Stegostoma tigrinum: one gene and its partner. The protein of the gene in region 1 purifies or fractionates together with the protein of each later gene. This does not show direct contact. Links are inferred from orthologs where the notes say so. Each region holds a gene or a part of one and is shown in the gene's direction. Other genes may lie near its edges. The genes, in order: pim1 and edc3.

Region 1 (12,327 bases):
TTTTGGGATGCAGTGGGTGGGGGGGGGAAGCGCTGGGCTGGTTGTGTGGTGCAGTGGGGGGAGGGGACGAACTGGGCTGGTTTAGGGATGCAGTGGGGGAAGGGGAGATTTTGAAACTGGTGAAGTCCACATTGATACCATTAGGCTGCAGGGTTCCAAATACTTGTCCAAATGTTTAGTCTCTGTCTCTCTCTAATAATGATTTCTTGTTAGTTCATCACAACTGGTTTTAGATTAATAGACCTCCAAATTTTAATATCATCTGTCATGTTCTTAAACAGTCGAATGGTTTTGGCAATTTTTCAGTCAAGGAGGCCAATTCATGAATCAAGAGTATTTTGGGAGATCATGATGAATCTATAACAAATTCCTATTTCTTTTAGTTCCATTGTGTTGGTGCACTTAGGGAATTCCCTTAATACCTACGCGGTCCTCTTCTTCTGTTTCGGAGTCACCTATTCTCTCTTTGCCTGCACTTATTAAAGATGCCAGATTACCATATTCTGGAGTGTGCTGGCTACAAACCTCTCAACCTCATGAATGCTGCATAGCTCTCCCCAGCTAGCCATTGAGCTCCAAGACCTGGAGTTTGATTTTCTCCCCTTGGAGGCACCTCCTAAGCACATGAGCATCTAGGACTTCCCATACAGTGCAGTTTGTGTAAATCCCTGGCCTGAGATCCCTTGGCATATCCTAACTATGTAGAATATGGATCCTTGCTTTTATTTTTCACTTCACATTTTTCAATGTAAATTGGAGAGATCATATTTTATTCTATCAGATAGACAACCAGGGCCCTTTAATTCCATTAAGCAATGAAATTTGAAGTTTCGAGTGCAAAGTTTTAGAAGTTCTATAATATTAATTGTCAGTGTAACATTCTTAAGCTGTAATTATAGACTTAACTTAAATCAATATCCAGTTTCAAGAGAGAGATACCCACCATCTATCTACTTGTACTCCTGCGACATCATACTTGGCCTTGATGAAGCAACTCTCCTGCTAGTATGTCAGTTTCTGGGACGTCACTACTCTCACTGCTCCTTTTAAACTTACTGCTACTGCTCCCAAATCACACAAAGTTTTGTCACTGATCTGTCTGTTTCTGGGACTTCTTTGATCCCACTATTCCCATTCACCTCACTGCCAACGCTCCCAAGTTTCATAAAGCTCCATAGCATAGATCATGCAGCCTCTCAAGTCTTCTCTGCCATTCAATACAATTACAGCTAATCTTCTGCCTCTACTCCACTTTCCTATACACTGTCCGCAGCTTTTGACTCTCTACAATGTCAGAAAGCTGCTTTTCTCAGACGTGAGTATAATTAACAGTGGAGCATCTACAACCACCTGGGCTAGACAACAATTCACATTACAAACTATCATTGACCAATGAAGGTTTTCTTCATCTCAGTCCTAAATGATTGCCTTCTCTTATTCTGAGGTTGTTCTCCTACAATTTCTACAAATATTCTCCAGTTCTCCAGCAATGGGAAACTTTCTGTCAGTGTCTATCCTGTTATGGCTCTCACAATCTTGTTCATTAAAAAGATTATGTCTCATTTTCTAAACTCAAGCAATTGAAGGCCCAACATATTCAGCCACTATCACAGGCCAATCCTCATTCTGCGAATTAATTTAGTAATATATTGCTGCGTTGCCTGCAAGGCATTATATCCTACTTTAAATATGGAGACCAAGGACTGGATTTTCATGTTGTACAGGAAAAAAAAGCTAGTTTCGTCCTTTTTTTGTGGCATTTGATCCATATTCTCAACATAATTTCATTTCCAAGGGACGTGGACAGGGAAGGCTCAGGTTTTGCAAGCTGTGAGGCAATGCAAGAAAAGTGAGGGAGGAAAGCAGATGCTGACGTAGGCCGATTAGAAGCGCTTCTCAGTTCTTAGGGACAACAACATATCTCACACAACATTTTTCTTATATTCCTAAGCCTCACACCCATCAATTCTCACGTATTTTTCATGCCTCCCCGTTCCCCCTCCATTCTGCATAGCCACGAATGTAGTATCTACTACATGTAGTTACAGTATTGAATTTTGGACTCTTTGCTGTAGGAAGGATGTTGTGAAACTTGAAAGGGTTCAGAAAAGATTTGCAAGGATGTTGCCAGGGTTGGAGGGTTTGAGCTATAGGGAGAGGCTGAATAGGTTGGGGCTATTTTCCCTGTAGCATCACAGAGTGAGGAGTGACCTAATAGAGGTTTACAAAATCATGAGGGGCATGGATAAGGTGAATAGATTCACGGTCACAGAAACAGACTCTTTGCTCCAATTCGTCCATGCCGATCAGATATCCTAAATCAATCTAGTCCCATTTGGCAGCATTTGGCACATATCCCTCCCAACCGTTCCTATACATATACCCATCCAGATGTGTTTTAAATGTTGTAATTGTCACTTCCCATGTGTTCTCTACCTTTGATCTCTCTTCCTCTCTTTTAAAATGCCATTGTTTTGATCTTTTTTCACAAAGTTCCAAAACAATGCAACAGCTAATATAATAATAATTACTGCTCCTAGAATTTGAGGAAATCAGCTCCAACACTGAAAATCCCTCAAAAAATGAAACAACTCTTACAGTCACAATTTTTCCTCTTTCTTGGATTACACAGAAGCCTTAGCCAAGGTCTTTTCCCGGGGGTGGGAAAGTCCAAAACTGAAGGACATAGTTTTAAGACGATAGGGGAAAGATTTAAAAGGGACTAAGGGGCAACTATTTCACACAGAGGATGCTGTACATATGGAATGAATTACCAGATTAGGTGGTGGAGGCTGGTACGTTAAATAAAGACATCTGGATGGGTGTATGAATAGGAACGGTTTAGAGGGATATGGGGTAAATGCTGGCAATTTTGGCTATATTTATTTAGGACGTCTGGTTGGCATGGACAAGTTGGACCGAAGGGTCTGTTTCCATGCTGTACAGGTCTATGACCCTATATCTCTATGTAGACATTCAGGATGTTTTGAAATGAATATTAAAAACTTACTAACTTCTAACACTGTAGATCCCACACTCAAAGACACATCATAGTGAAATGATTCTTAAATAAGTTAAGATATCCCCTCACTTACATAAATTATTGTAAATACAAACACTTATTATATCATATATGTTTATTATATCATTTACGATATCCATTTAATATATATACACTACATTAATGCTACTATCCTTTAATAACCCTTTAAAATGGTCAATCAAAATGCGAACACCCCCACAGACAGCCTACTGTAAATGGTCCTGGAATTGTTGAAATTCAGCTAAGCATTCAAAACAAATAAATAGGATTTTAGCCAACCCTGAGAATTGTAATCAACATTGCCCATTGAAATTACAAGAATAGGCTACTTTTTAAAAAAACTGTAGGTGTTGTTTAATTTCCACTTGAAAGCAAAATACCCTTCAGTCAATGGATCAGAACAGGTGATAGTAGGACCTGCAGATGCTGGAGAATCTGAGATAACAAGGTGTCGAACTGGGTGAACACAGCAGGCCAAGCAGCATCATAGGAGCAGGAAGGCTGATGTTTCGGGCCTAGACCCTTCCGAAACCTCAGCCTTCCTGCTCCTCTGATGCTCATTTGGATCAGAACAGGTGCTTATTTTGTTTACTTTCAACAGCAGTGAATTTTTTCAATATCTTCTGAACTTAAATCACAGCACAAAACATGACAGGTGTTTTGCCTGCCCATTGGTATGCAGTTTTAAATAGATTATGTCATTTTCTCCAGTGAAAATGTTCTCTGTTGCTTCCAGCACTTAAATAATGCTCATCAGTGTAATGGTCAACATATCTTTTCAGGACAGAACCCTATGATGAATCACTGAATTAAAATGCTGTATATTGCAATACAGCATCTGACAGTAACATTTTAAGTTGTCAAATTACTTAACACTTGCCTCTAAGAATATTTCTGATTGGACAGGCTTCCCAGTTGGAACTCTCCAACAAGGTATGGTTTATTTTCAGCCTTCCACAACCATCAATGGTATACCAGTACAGTGGACAGAGGAAGTTCAAATTTATGATGTGGCTCAATTTCAGGAGTCACAACTCAAAGCCTACCTAATCCATGAAATTAAAATGCAATAGCCAAAAATAGTGCCTGATCCAGGGGGGAGAGAACATTTGTGTTTTCTGTAGTGAAATACAGCAAGATTCCATACCAACATCATGCACATTGAGATAAATATTCAACCCTGAAACTACTGCTCATCCTGCTGTAGTCTCACAAAAACCCAATACTGTACAATTATAGTAATATTTTCTTTTTCTTGCACTCCAGCCCCTTTGCAATAAAGTCTAATGCGCTAATTGCATTTCCAATTGCTTGTTGTAAATGCATGCTAACTTTCTGTGTTCCTCGTGTGAATACACCAAAGTCTATCTGAACATCAGCATGTGCAAGTTACATGATTTTAAAAATATTCTGTTTTCTTGCGACCACAGTGAATAAGCTCAGAGTTTTCCCGCAACCTACTTCATCTGCCATCATGTTGCCCAATCATTTAACCTGTCTGTATCACTCTAGGCAGCCTGTTTGTATCCTCCTTATATCTCATTTTATATCAACAGAAAACTTGGATACAGTATTCTGTCTCTTAGTCAAAGTAATTAATAAAATGTTCTCAACATGTCTTTGCTGTCCTTACATTCCCTTTCTTTCAACTTTGTACTGTCTCTCATTTCTCTTGTTCTTCAAAATTGTTAAATCACAGATGGTTGTGGGTTATTTTTGAACACCTCCCACTGTTTACATCTAATGTTGTGTTATGTTTAATCATTCTTCCCGTCGGTGATGATCAATTTTTGCCCCAGCTGCAAAGTCAGCCTTCTTACATCGATTTAAAATGTGGTTGTGGTCCTCATCATATCTAATATTGAATTCTATTGTGCTGACTATGGACTAGGTATTTCTTTTAGTTTGATTATTGATTACAGAGATCTTCAGTTTAATAATTTATTCTGAATAAGATTTCCTCATTAGTGATTCAATTCTGAGATGGCTTTAATTTAGTTCCAAAACATCAGTGCCCATGAGGTAGTAATACAGCTGACTTTTTGTTGGCAGTTTGGCGTGCATCTGCAGCTGGGGTAACCAAGAACAGGCGAGAGTTAGTAGTGTCAATGTGTCAGTTCACAGATGTTGCTCCAATTAACATTAAACTAACACTTTTAGAAATTGAGCAGCTACTCTGCCTTAATCGTTTAAATCTTGCTTAATTTGGATTTACTTCAAAAGTAATTGTGGCTATCATTATAAAAATACCACACAAATCTTCTTTTGCACGAATTTATTGTGGGAATTGCATTCCATTGTCAACACGACAAGCAGCTAACAAAGCTGTGGTGGGTGGCACAGCAACAAATTTCTACTTTGTTCCCCTTGTTATCTGGCAGCCTGGGTACGGGGTGGTCCTATGGTGAGTCGATGCCACTTTCTCCGTACATCTAAAAAGAATCTGGTGGTCCCGATCGAAGGAAACATTCAGTTTCCTACACAGAGGAGAGTCAGTTCCCGGGGATGGTAAGCAAGATTACAGAGCCAGTCACCCGAAGCCTGGCTATTCTTGTGTACCACCAGGTATCTGGGTCAAAAGTGATATTGGAGATAGGCTGGAAGCAAAATCTCCTGCGTGACCTTACACGGCTCGGACATGGTATGTGACCCAGAGTGAGCATGAGAGGAACAGAAGAAAATGTAAATAACATTTTTTAAAAATCTCTTTAACGCCCTTCGCACAGCTCTCCACAACAGTTCAAATTTCGGTTTTGTTTTGATTCACAGTTATCAAACTCCACCCAATAGGATTTGAATCTGAACTTTCAAGTTGTAATCATTTCAGTACACCCTTGGAAGCAAAAACAGTGAGGAAATTCCTGAGATGTGATGCGTTGCAAAAAAGAAGCTTTCATGTTTTGAGCAGCGACCTCCATCGACTAACACTGGCTATGTTACAGTTTCGCTTGCTCTAACTTGTACCTGATCTCGGGGGAAAAAAAAGGCAGCTTTTTGTGATTCATTCCCACATGCTGAAAGGCGGCGGCCACCCAATTCGAAACTATGTCAGGAATGCAGCATCTTCTCACTGGCACCATTCAGAGCAGATTTGTATCGCCCTGCGGTTTTCCCAGAAATTATTCATCTCATTGCAAAACTCATTAACTCATTCTCCCTGAAATCTAAAATTAAGCCCCAAACCTGAAGGGTTTCGCCTGGCCAGATGAATAACAATTAATTTGGCATCAGTAAAAGACCATATCTACATTGATGTTCGCAGTTTACGATCGGGCGGGAAATAACAGAGTCCGAACTATTTTGTCCACACCCATTAATTATCACTGCAAAAATCTTTCCTTTCATCCTATCCAGTTTTCATGCACAAATGCATGAAAAATAAATGGAAGTGACTTTAGAAGCACTGTTGCTAACATGCACCTTGCATAAATGGTAGCTGAATAACGGGTGGCCACATGTTTGCAACAAAAAAAATCAAAAATTTAAACTACCTGTAATTGTGGTTGCGAATTCGAAATACATTTAAACATTACATTTTGCATAATATTGCACACTGATTAACCTTAAAGAGTTCTAATATTCTGATTCATTTATTTTGAGCACAATTGGATGTAATTCTTGATTAGTGTTTATTTTTGTCACCAATTGTGCACGCCCCCTTTAGGTGATAATTAACTCTAACGTGTGTACAGCAGATTGTTTTTATTGAAAATTAATATAGAAATCAAGCTATTTTAAAATATAAAGTACAGCAAAGATCGCAATGAATACAAAAAGGCCCGCAGTAACATTTCCTGGGCACTTGCGCATTCTGCCTTTCCGATAATCGTCAGTTGTGAGGTCAAATTAAATAATTCCCTCTTTCAAATGTAGCGGTGTTAGACATCCACAATGGAATTAACCTTGCAACATACTTGGCGGAAACACCTCTGTATATTGTACAACATGACTTTAAATACAAATAAAACCTTATTAATCGGGAAAGTTATAAAATGGGAGGAGCATTTTTGTGCACTGGAGATTTTCGAGTATAACATTTTAAGACAATATGTTGTGAAATCGCCCACTACACTAGAACAATGCATTCACGGTAAGGATCTGCATAGTTCAGCTCAAAACACGCCTCTGCATTTTTTGAACTACTCGGTTCGCTCCTGCCAAATGTATTGCCTGCAAAACTGCAGTGGCTACTCCCGCGGAAAGGAAAAAAAAAACGCCATTGTCGCTCCCCTTTAAAAATATTTGTCTACAGCCAGTGGATCAAAGCTATTTGTAAGCAGACATGCAAGAGGCATTTTTTGGCGCGTAGTCATTCCCGCCACGTCGAGTCTAGTCAGTTTCATTCTTTTATTTTTTTCGCTCTGTGATAGGCAGATCATTGCTACCCTCCTATTGGATTGCCTGACGTATTTCAAAGTGGGCAGTTCCTCTGAGGTTTGCTGATGGTGTACGGCTCGCCCTTTTTTTTACTATCTGTATATAGTGGTTGCTACTAACAGAACGCACTCCAAGTAAAGCCGGGGAATCAGCGTGATACAAAGACGCGGCTCTGATCCTTTTCTCCACCCCCATCACCCGCCCCCTTTTACATTTTCCTTCCTCATCCAAAAGAACTGATTTCCTGCTCGAAAGGGACTTAATCATCTGCCCGGGACACTGGGAGAAACAGACGCTTTGGAATAAGGGAAACATTTGTAGGATCGCAGCTGTGTGTTTCTTCGCAACGTGGTGTGGGTGAAATTTGCCGGCTTCCCCCCCACCCCCTTACCCTCTCTACTCCCTTTTTGGTGAAATCCCACTCGGAACCTTGGAAGTGATAACCGAGTCTGCAGTCGAGGTTTTCCAGAGGGGGATGCTGCTTTCAAAGATCGGATCCTTCACTCATATGTACTCGACATCAAACGTGGATATGCCGGCGAAAATTCAGTTGCAACAAGGTATCTGTTTAACATTTCCTACGTGTTTACGGAGCCTCCCTGTCTCACTGTGAAAGGGGTTTTGTGTTGTAACGGTGTTATCGTTAACCATGTGGAGCTCGGAGACAACAAAAGAGGCGCCGATTTCGTGATAGTGAAGATGGGCTAATCTTTTCTCCCTCCTTTCTGTTCTTCCAGTGAAAGAGCCTTTTGAAAAGATTTACCAAGTTGGATCTGTCCTCGGTAGTGGTGGATTTGGGACTGTTTATTCTGGGGTTCGAGTTGCTGATGGCGTGCAGGTAACTATGTTTTGAAGTCTGCGTTTCCCTCTCTGTTTTATCTCCCCAAACTTTGTGCAAATCCTTCTGAACAACCACCACCCCCCTCCAAAAAATACCTTTTTCATAGACGACTCGCTGGATTCGGTGACTGAATGGACCTTTCTGTTTATATTGCAGGTTGCGATCAAACACGTTGCTAGAGATCGGGTGTCAGAATGGGCTGAACTGGTAAGTAAAATGCGAAACTCGTGCCTTTTTGTATGCCTTTGTAATCACAGTATCAAGTCCTTTTTAAAATGAAATCCTATTTTGACAGATGTATTTAACTATTTACATTGAGGCGGGAAGTAAGCGATACATGAAGTTGTGGGTTGGGATGCGGAGTGATTGCTTGGTGTTTCATTGGGTTTATTTTTTGTGTGTGTTCTCCCTGCAGTCTAATGGAGCAAGGGTTCCCATGGAGATAGCGCTTCTGAAGAGGGTGGGCACGGGCTGTCGGGGTGTAATCAAAATGCTGGACTGGTTCGAGAGACCCGACAGCTTCATCATCGTCATGGAGAGACCTGAGCACGTTAAGGACTTGTTTGATTTTATCACCGAGAAGGGAGCCCTACCGGAGGACTTGGCTAAAAACTTTTTCCGCCAGATCCTGGAGGCGGTGAGACACTGTCATAACTGCGGAGTGGTTCACCGAGATATCAAGGACGAGAATATCCTGATTGATATGAGGACCGGGGAGCTCAAACTCATCGATTTTGGCTCGGGGGCTCTGTTAAAGGATACCGTCTACACTGATTTTGATGGTGAGCAATATTACTACAAAGGGGAATTTCCACCATTAAAAATAAGCTTAATTAGTCCAGTCAGTCCTGTTGCGTTAAGATACCAGAGGCTAGTGTTAAATGAGATTCAGCATTCCGAAATGACTTAATAAATTACATATTTAGACTTTAGTTTTGGAAAGAGTTATTTTGAGGTGATTGGATTTGGAATCCATTTGTCATAGTGAGATTTTTTTGCGCGGTAGTAACAAGCCGTTTTGTTATTGTTTTGATGGCTTTATTTCCTTATTTGGATGGTGATGTGGCTGCGACGGGGCGCCTGCTTGTCAGAGGCGTAGCGTTGATCGAAAGAGTGCAGCGCAAACACTGTCTCGCTGCAATGGGCGGCCAGAGGCAGGGGGCTCTTAAGGTAACATCAAATCACGAGGGATGGATGCGTAATTAATGGGGAGGTGGTGGGAATTGCCGAGCGCCAGAAACAAAAAACCCACCCGCCCACATAAAACTATTACCCAGATACAAGAGGCTGAATCATAACAGGCTGAGAAATTTCGAGTCGTGATATTTATGGGCAGTGTTTACAAGAGCTTGGGGAAGGGGGCATTTGCAGGGTTATTTTGCCTCTGTTTTTTGGAAAAAATAAAATGAAATGATTGATTTGTTTTTGTTTTGTGTTATCTCTCTCAGTGATCCAGGGCTTGGGTGGATCAAAGAGGGGAGGGAGGAGTGGGCTTAGGCTGGGGCTACAGCAGACAGACAGGACGGAGTCTCCCTCTGCCAGATGTTGGGAAGAGGAGAGGTGATGTCCGTCCGTCTCGGGGTTTGTAATGTAGCCTGTAGACGGCGTGTCTCCCTCCTGTTGTTGTTCCCAGTGTTTGCTGCCGTCGTTGGCTGAGTTTCTGGCAATGTGCCACCCTTTTGTTTTGGAGATTGCTTTCCTCCTGTGTAACGCTGTTTTCCTTTTCTTTCCTATTTGGAAACTGATGCAAATAATCAGGTTTTTTTTACACTGGAGCCGAGGTGAATCTTGTTTTTATTTATCTTGTGCCTCTTCTGTGTTTTTTTTAAATTACAAATGTTGCCCACATTTTCAGCTCTTCCCCCAAGTTTCGTCATGGAATTGTTTTGAAACCCGATAATCATGTTACCTGGGGCTATGGTGACGGGAAATAGGTTACTCTCTTGTTGATATCAAGTGGCCGATTGATAAATTATTAAGTTAGCTCAATGTCAGGGCTGGAGTGGAATAAACCCTCTGAAAAGACGTGGGGAGGCTGTTCTTTTAACTGCGAAAACCAAGAAGCAGTTTAAAACCAAACCATTGACATTTCAGAACAGCATTTTTAATGGTCCCTTTTGTGCCATGTGATTTAATCTGTGTACGTAACTTATTAACGTCCATTTTCCAAATTAAGACAGCACTGACTTTTATTTAAAAAATAGTATTTATGTGTAAAATTATTTTTTAAAAATCGCTTCTCATGCATCTTAGCTTTAATGCTTGAAGCTGGCTGTTGTAAAGGTGCAGCTTTGGGGCTGCGCCCCGCAGAGGTGACGGCGCAGCCCATTGCCTATTTTCAAACATTAAACTCGTCTCCGAAGAACAACCAAAAATAAAAGAAAACCGTTAGTGAAAATTTTGAGTGTTTGGCGCCACCGGCAGGCGGGAGCGTGTGCTTTTTACAACTGAAAGTTTGTAAACAAAAAAATCACATGGCAACGAGTCAATAACTGCCAGTTCACGGCAGGGCAAGCAGGAAGCTTCAGGTTAACCACATTTCCTGCAAGCTAAGGGCGGAACGAGATAGTGTAGATGATTTGAATTTCAAGAGCTCAGCGCACTCTTTTGTTTACAAGAAATATGGCAAACGCTTTATCTTCTGTCTGCCAATAACAAGTTGCTCGAATCAAATGTGAAATGTTTTGACCTTGTGTGCAGCTTGGTTCCCATAAAATGCAACTACAGAAATCTGTACTGGACTTATTTTTAAGCTTTGTTATTATTTTATTACTTTAAGTCCATGGAGGAATGTGCAATAATCAGATCAGTTGTGATCTTATTGAAAGCCAGAGCGGGCTTCAGTAGTTTGCTTCGGCCCTGAATTTGTACGTTTGCATTTTAACAGCATAAAGGAATACCGGGAATGGTTTCATAAATGTGGATCTTTGTGTTGATTTGTAGGCACCAGAGTGTACAGCCCACCAGAGTGGATTCGCCATCACAGATATCACGGCAGATCTGCCACAGTTTGGTCCCTTGGAGTGCTTCTGTATGACATGGTATGTGGGGACATTCCGTTTGAGCAGGACGAAGAGATAATTCGAGGACAGGTGCTGTTCCGGCGGAGAATTTCATCTGGTAAGCAGCTTTTCCTACCTCCCATCTGAATGGAGGGAAATTGAAATATTTCTAGAAGATCTCCATCCTCTATACTGTGTAAATTTAGTCAATCATCATTGCTTTAAATAGTTTCATGGAATTTGTCAGGTACTTACCACAGTCAAATGCACTGTGACTTTTAATGATGTTTTGTACATACAATTAATATGTCAGTGGTATGTATCGTTATCACTAAAGTATTTATCTGCTTATATTAGACTGCCACAAAAATCTCAACTGGGTTACACACCATAGTTACTACTTTATATCTGTCTGCTGAGTTGACAAACTGTTACATGTATGGAAAGTATAATCAGAAACTCAACACTGTTTATAATCCACGATTTCCTTCTTGCTTTCAGAATGTCAAAATCTCATCAAGTTCTGTCTATCCTTGAGGCCTTCAGATCGACCCTCATTTGAAGACATGATTAACCATCCCTGGATGCAGAACAGCATTGTTTCACAAGATACCATTGGACTAAGATTACACAGTCTGAGCCAAGAGTCACCCAACATTAGCTCAAGTAAATTAGAACTTGTGAAATAATGTGAACCGATGGTCACAAAACTGAACTGTCTCTGCCTTCCTTCCGAAGAACCAAATAACTCGCCTGGTTTCACTCACCAGATTCCATGGCCTTTTAAATCTACTGATTAGTGGGAGGGGTGATGAAGAACCAGAATCCTCTCCTTTGCAAGCGTCGGTTGTCATTAACTTGAATCATGCATTACGACAAGCCTGGCTCTTCCTCTTCGAGTGCCTTTTTTTATGAACGCTGGATCCACTAACTTAGAAAAGAAATACTTGAACTTCTGCTGCTTCTGAATAACTTGACTTTCCTTCGCACAATCTTCATACATAACACACACAGGGACTGGTCTAGTCTAGCTACTATTTTGTTTACAGCCTTCCAATAAAATA
Region 2 (13,017 bases), on another chromosome or scaffold:
TTGAACCACTGCAGTCCATTCTGTACTGGTACATCCACAAAACCATTTGGGAGTTAAGAATTTTGACTCAATGACATTGAAGGAGCAGTGACACGTTTCCAAGTCAGGATGATGAGAGGCTTGGAGGGGAACTTGAAGGTGGTCATGTTGCCATGTTTGTGTTGCCCTTCTCCTTCTTGATAGTAATGGCCGTGGATCCAGAAGGTAATACAGTGTGGAGCTGGAGGAACACAGCAAGTCAGGCGGCATTAGAGGAGCAGGAAAGTTGATGTTTAGGTCTGAGACCTTCATCAGGACTGGGGAGGGGGGTAGGAAGCTGGTAAATAAATAGAGGAAGGAGGCATGAGGCTGGGGGAAGGTAGGTGGGATGGTGAGAGGTGGATGCAGCTTGGGGATAGTGGAGATTGGTCAGTGGGAAGGGTCAGTGGTGAGAGGTGGATGCAGCTAGGGGATAGTGGGGGGTTGGTCAGTGGCAATTTTGACTCTTTGCTCTATACATGATGGAGGTCATGGCAATGCGTTGAACCTGCCTTCGGAGAGAGAACAAATAAAGAAGTAATAATTGATGTACACTGAGGTGCAAAAAGAAAATCAAAGCCAGTGAAATATATTAATGAAATTTTATGATAAGAAAAATCATGAACCTAAACAAGCACATGTTGTACTTTGGAGTAGATCAAAAATTGGACAGTTTTTCTCTTCCTCGTTGCACCTCATCAATTTTTTCTTTCCTTGACTTGAAAGTTTACATTGAATATTCATAAATGAGCCTTGACAATGAGCGTCAGTAGTATACTTGGTTATAAAGGATATCTAATCCATACATACACTGAAGGCATGTTACAAAATGATTTGACAGACCTATATCTAGGTTTGTAAAATTATGATGACTTTGACAGAATGGATATATAGAGTGGAAGAGTATTTTATATTTTATCAACACAGTATAGCCACCAAGGTATCCAATAAGGGATTGGAAGAAATATCTTTATCCAGAGGGTGAGAATTTGGAACTGTAGTTGGAGTAGTTGATGTAAATAGTTTAAATACATAAAGGGGAAACAAGGTTAAAGATATGAGGAGAAGGAAATAGATTGTTCAGTGGTGTTTTTAGATGAGGAAAGGTTGGAGGAAGCTCAAGTGATGGATAAGCGCTGACATAGGCTGATGCATGCATAGGTTAGGTAATTTAAGCATTCTTAAACATGTTGTTCTGTTGAGGTCATTGCACCAGATTTGGAACCATGGCTGAATTTTTTGTGAAATACAGGACAGTTCATAGGGTGATACTTCTTATCGCAAGCAGATCTTTACCCTCAGGAACATTAAAGAACAGAGCCCAGAGTATCAGAAGCCACATGTCATCAAGTTAATTAATTTCAACACGTCTTTAAGCATCCATCAGTAGTCACTCTGGTGTATCACAACACAGTATTGTACCCAGTAATGGATAATTAATGTTCTCAAAGCCTTATTACACAACACTAGCTGTAGACTCCTACAAAATCACCACAGGACTACAGAAAGGCTGTATATTCTTTTCTCATTCTTATTCCTTTTGGTTATTGATTTTCATCAAGACAAAGACCATGGTGGTCCAGACTGCAGACTAGCAGACAACAATGCCTTGCTGGCTGAAGATTCATACTTCCTAGACATGAACACAAGTACTGAGTATAGATGTGCTAATGTTGGTTTACACTGTCAGCTGTTAGAAGACCAAGACAACAATGACTGGATGGCAAAAAGCCAACTCTACCATCGCCATAGGCCAAAAGAATATTCAGCAGATGGATCACCTCCCCTACCTAGGAAGCAACATCTCCAACATGGCAAAACAACACTGGTCTTCCAATGATCGCATATGGTGTTGGTGTTGAGCACCATCAATATGGCTAATAAGCTGTGATTCTACATGCTCACTGTGGTACCAACTGCAATCCATGCCAGTGAGGCCTGAAAGAGAACAGCAAAGGTGTCACATAAATTGGATGTCATCTATCAAGGTTGCATATGTAAGATCTTAGGCATCACTTGGGTTGATGACATCGCTAACGAATAAGTGTTACACAGGACTGTAACACTTGTCCTGTGCCTACAGTGTAACAAGATGGAGAGATCACTGTGACTAGCAGAACATGTTTTTTTCCTCCCAGATGTACACCTTGCCAGAGTGGCAACTGAATGGACTTCACAAGGAGGGGGAAAGATGGGGCTGGCTAAAGAAGACGTGGCAAAAATAAAACAAGTGTGGGGCATCATGTGGATGAGATTACAGTAGATGTGTGGCAGACTCTTGTTACCCATTATCCTGCACAGGACCAGAGAAACAAAGTCTGGCGTGGTTAGTTCATCAGCACAGACCAAATAAGAAACCCATTCTTTTGCTGTTGTTTAAGGCACAGTAGAGGATATCTAAGCTTGAACAACAGAGATGATGAAAACAATATAACTACTTAATATATATTGGGCTTTTATCAGTGCAGCTAGACAAAAACTAGCACCAAATTAAAAGGAGATATTAGATTAGCTGACTAAAGGTTTGGTAGATTTAAGGAGGGTTTTGAAGAAGATGGAGGTAGAGAAACCAAAGCTTAAGGAGAAAGTTCCAGAACTTTGTGCGAAAACTGCTAAAGGCATGTCCATAAGCGATGGGTTGGTAGGAATCGGCTGATTCAGAACAGCCCGAAGTTGAAGAAACATGGTGATGAACCATATTACTGGTCTGTAGAGCTAGAAAGTTATAGAGATAGGAAGGCCTGGGATTTAAACAGGAAAATCAATGTTGGCGAATGGGAGACAGTCCAAGCCAGCATGCAAAAGTATGGTAGATGAATAGAAGACAGAATGGGTTATGAAAGGAGCAACAGAGCTTTGGATATTCTTATCTTTATGGGTGACCTGCTAGGATGGTATTGACGCACTCAGTTTGGAGAAAACAAGAGAATGGGTAAGAGTTTCAGCAACGGATAGAAATGTAACTATCAGAAGACATGGAACAATCGATTGTCTGACAAATTAGTTATATTGACATTACTTTGTTAACAAATTAGTTATACTTGACATTAAATTGTTAATGTTTGATGTAATAAATTATAAGTCTCAGCTTAGTTGAAATATTAAAAATAGTGTTTATAAAGTGACCTTAGCGTGCAGGTTCATAGTTCCTTGAAAGTGCAGTCGCAGGTAGACAGTGTAGTGAAGAAGGCATTTGGTATGCTTGCCTTTATTGGTCACTGCATTGCGTAAAGGAGTCGGGAGGTCAGGTTGCGGCTGCACAGGACATTAGTTAGGCCACTTTTGGAATACAGCATTTGATTCAGGTCTCCTATTTATGGGAAAGAGCTGCGAAACTTGAAAGGGTTCAGATAAGAATTACAAGGATGTTGCCAGGCTTGGACGTTTGAACTAAAGGGAGAGGCTGAATAGGCTGGGGCTATTTTCCATGGAGCATCGGAGGCTGAGGGGTGACCTTATAGAAGTTTATAAAATCATGAGGGGCATGGATAGGGAGAATAGTCAGATCTTTTTCTCAATGTAGGAGAGTCCAAAACTAGAGGGCATAAGTTTAAGATGAGAGGGGAAAGCATTACAAAGGACCTGAAGAGCAACGTTTTCACATAGAGGGTGGTTTGTGTATGGAACGAGCTGTCAGAGGAATTGGTGGAGGCTGAAAAGGCTTTTGGATGGGTATGTGTATTGGAAGAGTTTAGAGGGACATGGGCCAAATGCTGGCAAATGGGACTAGGTTAATTTAGGAAAACTGGTTGGCATGGACGAGTTGAACTGAAGGGTCTGTTTCCGTGCTTTATATCCCAATGACCCTAATTCTGAAGTTGTGGCTTTGAACTCCTCATCCAGGCTAAAAACCTAAAACAGAGCTAAGGCTGCGCTACACTGTTAGAGGTGCCATCCTTCAGACAAAATGTTAAACAGATCCCTGTTCTGCATAATCCACTGTGATTCCATGGTGTTTCTTTTAAAAAGGAGGTCTCCTGGATAACATACTTTCATTAACTTCTACCACTAGTGGTACTGATTATCTGGTTATTTATCACCAATCCTATTTACCTTCGCTTAGCACAAGATAATTATTACAGTAATATGCTTCAAAGTGATTTGATGTTCATGACTCATATAGAAATTATAGTGCATCTTTAACATTAGCATTTATGTTTCTGTCATACTGGAACCATCAAGTCAAAACACAATGTTCTTACCATTTCCACTGGACCTTCTGTAATCTTCTCTTTTCAAATATTTAGCCAAGTTCCTTTTATATTATCAACAGTACCTCAATAACCCCGTCTTGCAAAGTATTCCATGGTCTAATGACTGTGAAAATGTTTCTTTTAACTTTTAATTTTGTTCTCGCAATGGCAGGGTTGAGTATGTACTCCCTTGTTATTAATTCATGATCCAGTTGAAACAATATTTCACTACTTGCCACATCAAGACTATTTATACTTATGAAAACCCATTACATTGCAGTTAATCTTCACTCTTTTGGGGGAAAAATCCACTGTTTCAAAGCTTGCTCTGTAATTATAATTTCTTGTTTCTCATCATTCTGTAGCCATTTGTGATTCTGATGTTCTTCCAATCACAATACTCCAGCTGCAAGCTAATTATCGCCTTGCACTAATTTAGTATCACTTTCTTCTTACATTTTATGCTCCTCTGCATACAAACCCAGAATGAAAATGGCCTTTTATTGCATTTTGCAGCCAGAATCCTTTCCTAAATAGGCTAATCTCTATTCAACTTGGATCTCCTGCGTTCCTCCACTCTCTTAAGAGTCCTTACATCGAATTATATAGGACTTACAGCACAGAAACAGACAAGTCAATTGGATCAATTTCATCAACCTGAAATTCCTTTGTTATAATGTCTTGCTTTTAAAGCCTCATCCAAATTTAACTTCAGTCACATGTGGTATTGAAACCTGTAAATTTGACCCTCAAAATTTTTGTCACTTCTACTACAGTAACACCACTGTATGCTCCCTCTCCTGCGTACTTCAAAGGGACATTTTTTTGTTGAAACACACTGATCTTCACATCATAGCCATTATCTCTCCCGTGGCAAATACTCAAACAGTCACAAGAGGTGTAACACCTTCCCCTTACCCACAGTCCCACCCCGCCACCTGCAATCATTGTCCAAGCTCTTTCAAGGTGCTGCAACAATTTACCTGTACTACTTTTAATTTAGTATGTTATATTTACTACCTGTATTGTGGTACGTTTAACACCAAGGAGCCAAATGCAGAATGAGTGACCATTTTGTGGAATGCCTCTGCCTCAGCCCACAAGCTTCTGCTTTCTTGAAAACTTATTTGATCTTGTTAATATATCAGTCTTTTGCCAGTGGAGCTCGAGAAACATCTCATCTTCTGATTTGGCACTTTTTACAGGCTTTTGAACTGGATATTGAGTTCAACAATTTCAGACCATGAGCACTGTCCCTCCATCCTGATTTTCATTTTTTTTGCCATGTGCTGTTATTGTTTCTGCGCTTTTGCTCTTGGTCAGAGCTGCTTATTATTCTTCCATTCAGGCTGGATTAATGCTTTGGTTCTTCACCATATCCATTAATTTGCTCTTTGGCTTTGTTTCATAACATCTTTGTTATTTAAATTCTCCTTTGCTTTTGCTCATCCTCTCCATCTGACATTTCAGTGGCACTTAGCCCATAACATTTCCAGCTTCCTTCAGCTCAACAAAAGAATCACATCTGAATCAAAACAAAATCTGTTTCTCTCACAACAGATACTACAAGATCAGTTGAGCATTTCCAGCTGTTTCTGTTTTTAACCACAACTCAAGCGACTCAATTCTAATTTCATTAGATGGTACCACAAGGATCTGGTTCAAGTCTCACTCCAGGGTTGACATACAAAACTCATGCCCCTTAGTCCACTGCAGTTCTAGGTTAAATTGTGCTGATTGAGGGTTTGTTTTTCAGGTAAACTGAGGACAGGCCTATCTGTTTGGGTGAATGTAAACTAATCCATTGAATTATTCTATGGAGGAACAAGAGGTTTGTTCTTGACATGCTGGCTGATATTTATCCTTCAATCAACATCATGTTAACAGGGCTATCTGGCCTTTGTCACCTTGCTGTTTGTGAGATCTTGCTGTGTGCAAACTGGCTGTCTTATTTCTTACATCAAAACAGGAACCACACTTCAGAAGTATTTCACAGTGTGAGATATGCTTTGAGATGTCTGGCGGTCATGGAAAGCATGATGTAAATGTCTTTCCTTCTTTATTTACTACATATTTGAGTCATTTTTTTGTAATCTTGGAGGTTTTAATGATGCCCTCTCTAGCATTATTGACTCACTGTTAGAGAAGATCCAACTGAAAAAATCTTTATCACAACATCATATCAGAAATTGTCGAATCAATGCCAATGTTTTCTCTCTGCGAGACATACAGTCTAATCACACTCTTGAAATCACTCCCCTTATCTTTCAACATTCATTTTTCTCAAGTAAGTTATCAATTTCCCTTCTTTAAAATAGTTTTGAGATGTCATGGTTTAAAAAGCTTTGCTTCACTCTTTGGAAAGGAGCCTTGTTGGTGCCTGTTAATGTCAGTAGCTTGCCATATTTCTTGCCATATATCCTACATGCATTCCAAATAAGTCTGTAATTTTAACATCATGCTTGCTTTACAATCCTCCAAGATCACTGCGCTTTCCCAAATGTTGGTTTTTTTTTGCATTCCCAATTTTTAAGTTATTATATTGTTGACAATATTGTTTCCTCTTCAGGAACGTGGGTTTTAAGTTCTGGAATTCTCAACCCAAAACTTACTGCATCTCCCTCCTCTTTACAATGCTGCTTAAAATTTATCTCCTTGACTCAGCATTTAAACACACTTCCAAACACAATTTATCAGTTTTTTTACTGCTCATAACATTCTACTACATTAAAAAGACATTCTCTAGCCTGAATTGACTAAACATTGTGACTTTCATAATTGTGAAGATACATATGTGAACTTAAAATTAAAGTATCTGTAGGGCAACTTTCGTTGAGTCACAGCGTTGCTATAGACCCCTTAAAGGGCTGGAAGTCATCAAATGAAGAATGAGCGTCTTGAATGATTAATAGTAATTAAGAATTGATTACTAAGCAAAGGGTCTCGGGGCGCAGTCGTTGAAACCCTACTTCTGAGCCAGGAGACCTGGACTCAAGTTCTACCTGCTTCAGAGGTGTACACTAACATCTCTAATCAAGATGATTACAAGATATCTACAGACTGATCAATCGGTGTGGTCTGGTGATTGGGAGATGCTAGCTAGACCCTACGGACTCTTGTGGTGCAGTGGTAATGTCCCTGCCTCAAAGCTCGGAAACCCTGGTTCAAATTCCTCCAGAAGTGTACAATAAGCAGACACCTCTGAGCAGGTTCATTCGGTAATATTTTGATTACTAACCGATTTTCGTTAAGAAGAGCAGGGCTGCTGACATTCAGCAGATCTCCCTAGGATGGAGATTGTCTCCCCGTTGCTATGGGAGGGAGAGGAGGGCCGGAAGTGAAGACTGGTTGCTAGGAGGGTGTGATGTCAGTGCGCGGCCCGCGCAGGCGCAGAAGTGGGACTGGCGATGGCGGAGTGGTGTGTCTGCCGTCGTTGCTGAATCTTAGTGACTCGCTGGCCAGCTCATTTTCACATCGTCCCTTCTTTAGATACGACGTAAGGGATCCTGCCGAGCTTATCGCGATGTGTCTAACCGGAAACGCTTGTATTTTCTTTTTGGGTCTGCGGGTGGGTGAGGAGTTTGGATACTGTTAGGCCTGGAAGTTGGATTGGGCCTACCGTCCACTCCAGTCTAATTCAGCAGCAAATGTCCGGTCCATCTTTTTTGCAGCTGCAGCTGCAGCCTAGTCCTAGTCCTTCGGTGATGGTGAGGAGACACTATGGAGGCATAGTGAAAATGACGCTCTGAGCTAGTAATCCAGCAAGCCTGGCTGATGCTGTGAGGCTTTGGTTTTATATTCCATCCAAGTGACTGGTGGAATACCTGTTCAGTTATTCAAACCTGGAATCTAAAGCTAACCTCAATGGGGTCCATGGCAACCATAATCAATGTTCTCAAAAATTCACTTGGTTTTATGAGGAAAATAGGTTTGCCATCCTTCTCTGGTTTGATTTACGTAATACTCCGCACCTACAGCAATATGGAACAAAAACAGAAGATGCTGAAAACGTTCAATAGGTCTGGCAACATCTGTGAAGAAACAAAAAAAGTTAATGTTTTGGCACTGATGATCCTTCTCCAGAACAGATAATATGGTTTACTCTTAACTACCCTCAGAAATGGCCTAGCAATCCGCTTGGCGAAATAGCAATTAGGGATCCACAGTAAAGTTTGGCCTTGCCAGTGGTGCCTGTATCTCAAGGGAAAGAATTATAGTTTGTTGGTTTGTTTGTCCATTTACAGCCTTCTTTCATGCTATAGCACTGGTGCTTCTGTCACTCCAAAAGTTTTCGACCGGTCCCCCTCCCCTATAATAGTCTCTCTGTGAAAACAGCAATGGCTATAAGTATGTGGATGTCTGGGAGAGAGCTACTGCAAATGTTCATCACTCAACCTGCCACATTCTGCTTTTTTGCTCTATTCCAGAAGCCCTCAAAACTAAGTGAATCTAGACAACTCCCTGCTGCACTTATGTTGATGTAGTGGCTGGAGAGAAGAGATAAATGCTTAAAGTCATGTGTTTGAATCCTCGTTTTTGGATTTGTGTGCTTACACTTTAGTGAGAGTGTGCAGGCTCAATGTTGGAACAGGCAATATATTCCACAATTACCATGCTGAATGCTGTTTTTAGCTGATAGTGTTCTCAGCTTGAAATTATAAAACTTGTATGATGTATGCAGTTTTACCAGTTTTGGAGTTTTGCTGTTGTACAAAATGGATGTTATAAGCCAAGAATGTAGTTGACTTAAGACTGACCCAGTATTTCAATTCAAAGATAAAATTTTTAAGGAGTTCTAATTTCTAATGTGATACTTTACTGATGGATTCTCAGCAGGGACATAATGACTTGTTTGTAGGTAGTAGCATTTTTAATAGATGGGTTGTATGGTTTTTGACTCTGGATTTTGAAGCATGGTTTTAAAATTCATATTGGTTTGTTTTTAAACTGATAAATCATTCCAGACATGCGTATGGAACTGTGGCCCTGCTTTCTGTGCCTTGTGTTACAAATTTGCCTCATGGTAGTGATGGGGTGTAATATTTTGATAAAATTGCATGCCATTGAACATTTTGCAGTAAGTTTTTTAACCATTTCCCCAGAACACTTCAAAAAATTTAATATTTGAGTTGTGTTCACTTTTTAACCAATTTTGACAAATGTTGAGCCAGGTATTCTGTTTTGTGCAGAGCATCTTTGTAAATTTGAAAATTCCTTTTGCAATTACATGAATTACTCAACATTTGAATGAGATTGCAGTAATTAAGATTACCAAAATTTGAGGGATCAGTGACACTCTCAGAATGTAGGATGTTAATTGTGCACAGTTTAATTTTACTTAAATGACTTGTTGCAACAGTTTACTAGAAAGTAGTTTAAAATAGTATGTTTTTGTGGTTCAAGGCATTTAAGAGTGCTGTACACTGGATATGTAACTGCACACTTAAAGGCTCCCAACTGCAGTCACTAGAGATTAGAGCAGCACTGTGGAGGCCAAGCACTCATGTAGCATGGTTCACTTTATTGCTTTTTGATTCAGTTGTTTTATAGACCAAAATATTACTGGACTGCTAATGTTCCAGATATGTCTGGACAAAAATCAGTTGCAATATTCCCATCGACATATGGAGCATTGCTTGCTCAAGACTGCCCAACCTGTGTAGATGAAGCATCTGTGCAGGTATCAGTCTGTGTCTCTGACAGTCCTACGTGGAGGTTAAACACAGGCAACTGAAGAGGCAAAAAGCTAAACATCCCATTTGTGACAGATTTTGCAGACCTGACAGTGAACAGTTTAGTCACTTCAGGACCACAACATTGGAGTGGAAGAACGTCTTGCTGTATTTCGAATGAATGCCTAAGAAGGATCGGTGAAGGGGATAGGTTAGTGGCCTGCTTATTTTGATTGCAGAGTGATACCTAGTATGGAACCAAAGGAAACTATATTCTTTGATATTCACACAAACAATGTGGGATAAGAACAGCAACGTTTGGTGAGTGTTGATGGTTCTGAGCCATGATAATTATTAGTTCACTTAAGTTTTGGAAGTGAACTAAAATGAAAAGTTAAAAGCAATATTGTTTTTGGGTTTTCTCCTTTGCCTTTTCAGAAATGTTCTCCTTAAAAGCATTGGCTTTCAAATTGTCTCAGTATTCAACTCAAGTATCGATTTATTCATGAGGGTTTGATGCAATGTGGCAGAGTGCTATTTGGCTGCATTATTAGCTTGTTGTCCGGCTAACACTTATTGCCTGTCCCCAGTTTCCCTTGAGAAGGTGGTGGTAAGCTGCCTTCTTGAATAGTTGCAGTCCTTGTACTGTCAGTTGACCCACAATACTGTTGGGATGGAAATCCAGCGTGTTTGTCCCTGCAGTGTGAAGGAACTAACTAACTGAGCATAGATCGCAGATTAAATCTTGGAATTTTTAGGTGTATGAGATCTCTTTATTATAGAGTATGTAAACTTTCTGACCAGTTGAGAAGCTGTTTTTGTTTTGATAAATTAAGTGTTGTTGCTGGAAGAAGAATTTTCAAAAAATGTGCTAAATTACTGAAGTAAAAACAAAACCATTTCAAATAATTGAAACATGGACTTGAAATATTAAATAAAAGCCACTATTATGCTGGACTGTTAGATGTTGCAGTGCATTTCATCTTTCAAGCTATTTTACGATAAATGTTGAAGGCATGTTTTCAACAAAAAAAGCAAAAAATAGATAATGCAGTGGAATAAAAAGTTGCTGTATTTTGTATGGCACCGTTACTTATACACAGATTCACAGACTGCAGTGCCTGGTTATAGTACTGCTGATAGTTTTGAGGATTAATTTGGAAATTAAAGCTGATGAAGAATGAAACGAATAACAACTGTTTCCTTGTCTTTTTTCAGTTATGCTGTAGAGGATGGCTGTAAATTGGATTGGGAGCCTTGTTTCTATTAACTGTGGTGAGACGCTTGGAGTGTATCAGGGAAAAATTTCTGCAGTGGATCAAGCCAGTCAGACAATTTCTCTAACACAGCCATTCCGCAATGGAGTGAAATGTTCCGTTCCCGAGTTAACATTTAGGTAAGTGTTTGTTATTTCAATGACTTCAATGTCAACCAGTTGCAGCCATCTAATCTGCTTGTACTTGACCATATACTTGAACAAAGGTACTTAGCAGTGATCTTGTCATCAAACTTGGATGATTTTTGGAGAGCATTTATAAGTTGCAATGTCCCTACAAAAGTGTCTCAGTCATCCTGGCTGGGGCTTATAATTGTTCTCCTTAGATCTCTCTGAGGCTTGGAAGGTGACAGGTTGAAGAGGACTAGACTTTTTGTTGCTGAAACCGTATTTCAGAGGTATGCTTCTGGAATATTTATTGATAATTTGTTGAGCAAATGTTTTCCAGTTTGAAATCTTCCTTCTTGGGTTAAAAGAGAAAGCTGTTTCATCTGTTTTATTTTGTTTGAAGTGGTGCTCGTTTGAGACAGTCAGGAGTTTATGTCCGCTGAGCAGTCCGCATGTGTAAGAATTTTGAAGTACATGAAGTATGATGAGACCTTTAACTGGTGGTATAATTGGGACTAAAATACCAATTACTATGTAATGTTACACTTCTAAAGTCATTTTAAATATGTTTAGTTATTACTGTTCCCAGTTCCTACAGGTCTGTTGGTGTTTACTGAAGCCTGTATGTCTGCATTACCCTGTCTTATGCTCAGCAGAATGTACTTTGATCATATATATCTAGAATCATCCTATCGGAAATTCTTTATCTTGTATGCAATAGGACAGAAATGATGCCTAATTACAAACAATCGCAACAGTTTCTCTTAGAGTGCAGCGTGGCTATTGGTAGGTTGACAACTCAACTTTGATTAGCTGAGATATTGCCACCGAGAAAGCAATGGGGATCTGTAGGCTTCCTCAGCTCTTGGGTTAAAAGATAGGTGCTGGACTTGAACATATGCTATCTAAGCCAACAATAGGAATATCTGTCTTTTCAACAAATTTTCTTTTTTAAAACATAAAGCTAGTTGGGTTGGGACTGTTTTGAAGAGTTACGTTGAGAGTGGTTTTCAACGGAATTCTGTGTTTGAAAAGCTTTGGGTGAAAAGTGTAGCCCCATAAAATTCAGGCTTTAAGCTTGGGCATACCTAATATAACCAGGTGAAGTGAGAGCCCAATCTCCACCGATAGAATTCCAATAAAATGTTTTTATTCTCCTGTTAATTCCCAAATCATTTCCCCCCCCACATGAAAGTTATTAGCACATGCAATTAAATGATATCACTCCACAGCTATTTACCGTCCATTATTTGTGTGCACTGAGAAAGCAATGTTTTTGTGGCCATCTGTGGCTCCAGGCCTGTCACTTGTGAATTACGACATTATAATCAATGCCTTCAGACTACTTCCCTGGTGTATAAAAGATTGTAATTAAACTTAATTTCTTCAAATGGTAGTTGGTTGTTTCAGATATTGCCTGATGTAACCATAGCCATGTGATAAATGGAAAGTCTAATTTAGTTCAGATGCTTGACCAAATTAAATGTAGGACCTCTTTGCGCTGGCAGAAATCCTGGCCATGTACTTCAAAAAAACAAGATATATTGAAATAAATGACAGTTAGAAAACAGTCTGCATGAATGAACCAGTCCATTGTTTATCTTCCACACAAAATGCTTGAATTCCATGCGGTTGCCATAATCTGTCATTGATTTTTTTTCATTCTGCTCTTAGATGGTCCTCTGATTTCTACTTCAGTCACTAATTCTGATAGTTCAGAGTCGCAAGTACTGTGGCACAGAGGGCCATT

Evidence for each region.
Region 2: the proteins of pim1 (region 1) and edc3 purify together in Homo sapiens (affinity purification with mass spectrometry; 3 studies listed by BioGRID and IntAct, counting the BioPlex papers as one, with this or other methods). This does not show direct contact. The link is inferred for Stegostoma tigrinum from reciprocal best matches to the Homo sapiens genes PIM1 and EDC3.

What each region holds. Positions count from the first base shown.
Region 1 is NC_081374.1:24,522,821-24,535,147, forward strand, and holds the start of pim1 (serine/threonine-protein kinase pim-1), read left to right. Parts: upstream 1-7,518; 5' UTR 7,519-7,895; coding exon 7,896-7,980; intron 7,981-8,157; coding exon 8,158-8,258; intron 8,259-8,417; coding exon 8,418-8,468; intron 8,469-8,676; coding exon 8,677-9,043; intron 9,044-11,204; coding exon 11,205-11,381; intron 11,382-11,764; coding exon 11,765-11,952; 3' UTR 11,953-12,327. UniProt on the Homo sapiens protein: Proto-oncogene with serine/threonine kinase activity involved in cell survival and cell proliferation and thus providing a selective advantage in tumorigenesis.
Region 2 is NC_081389.1:17,319,208-17,332,224, reverse strand, and holds the start of edc3 (enhancer of mRNA-decapping protein 3), read left to right. Parts: upstream 1-7,595; 5' UTR 7,596-7,707; intron 7,708-11,101; 5' UTR 11,102-11,115; coding exon 11,116-11,279; intron 11,280-13,017. UniProt on the Homo sapiens protein: Binds single-stranded RNA. Involved in the process of mRNA degradation and in the positive regulation of mRNA decapping. May play a role in spermiogenesis and oogenesis.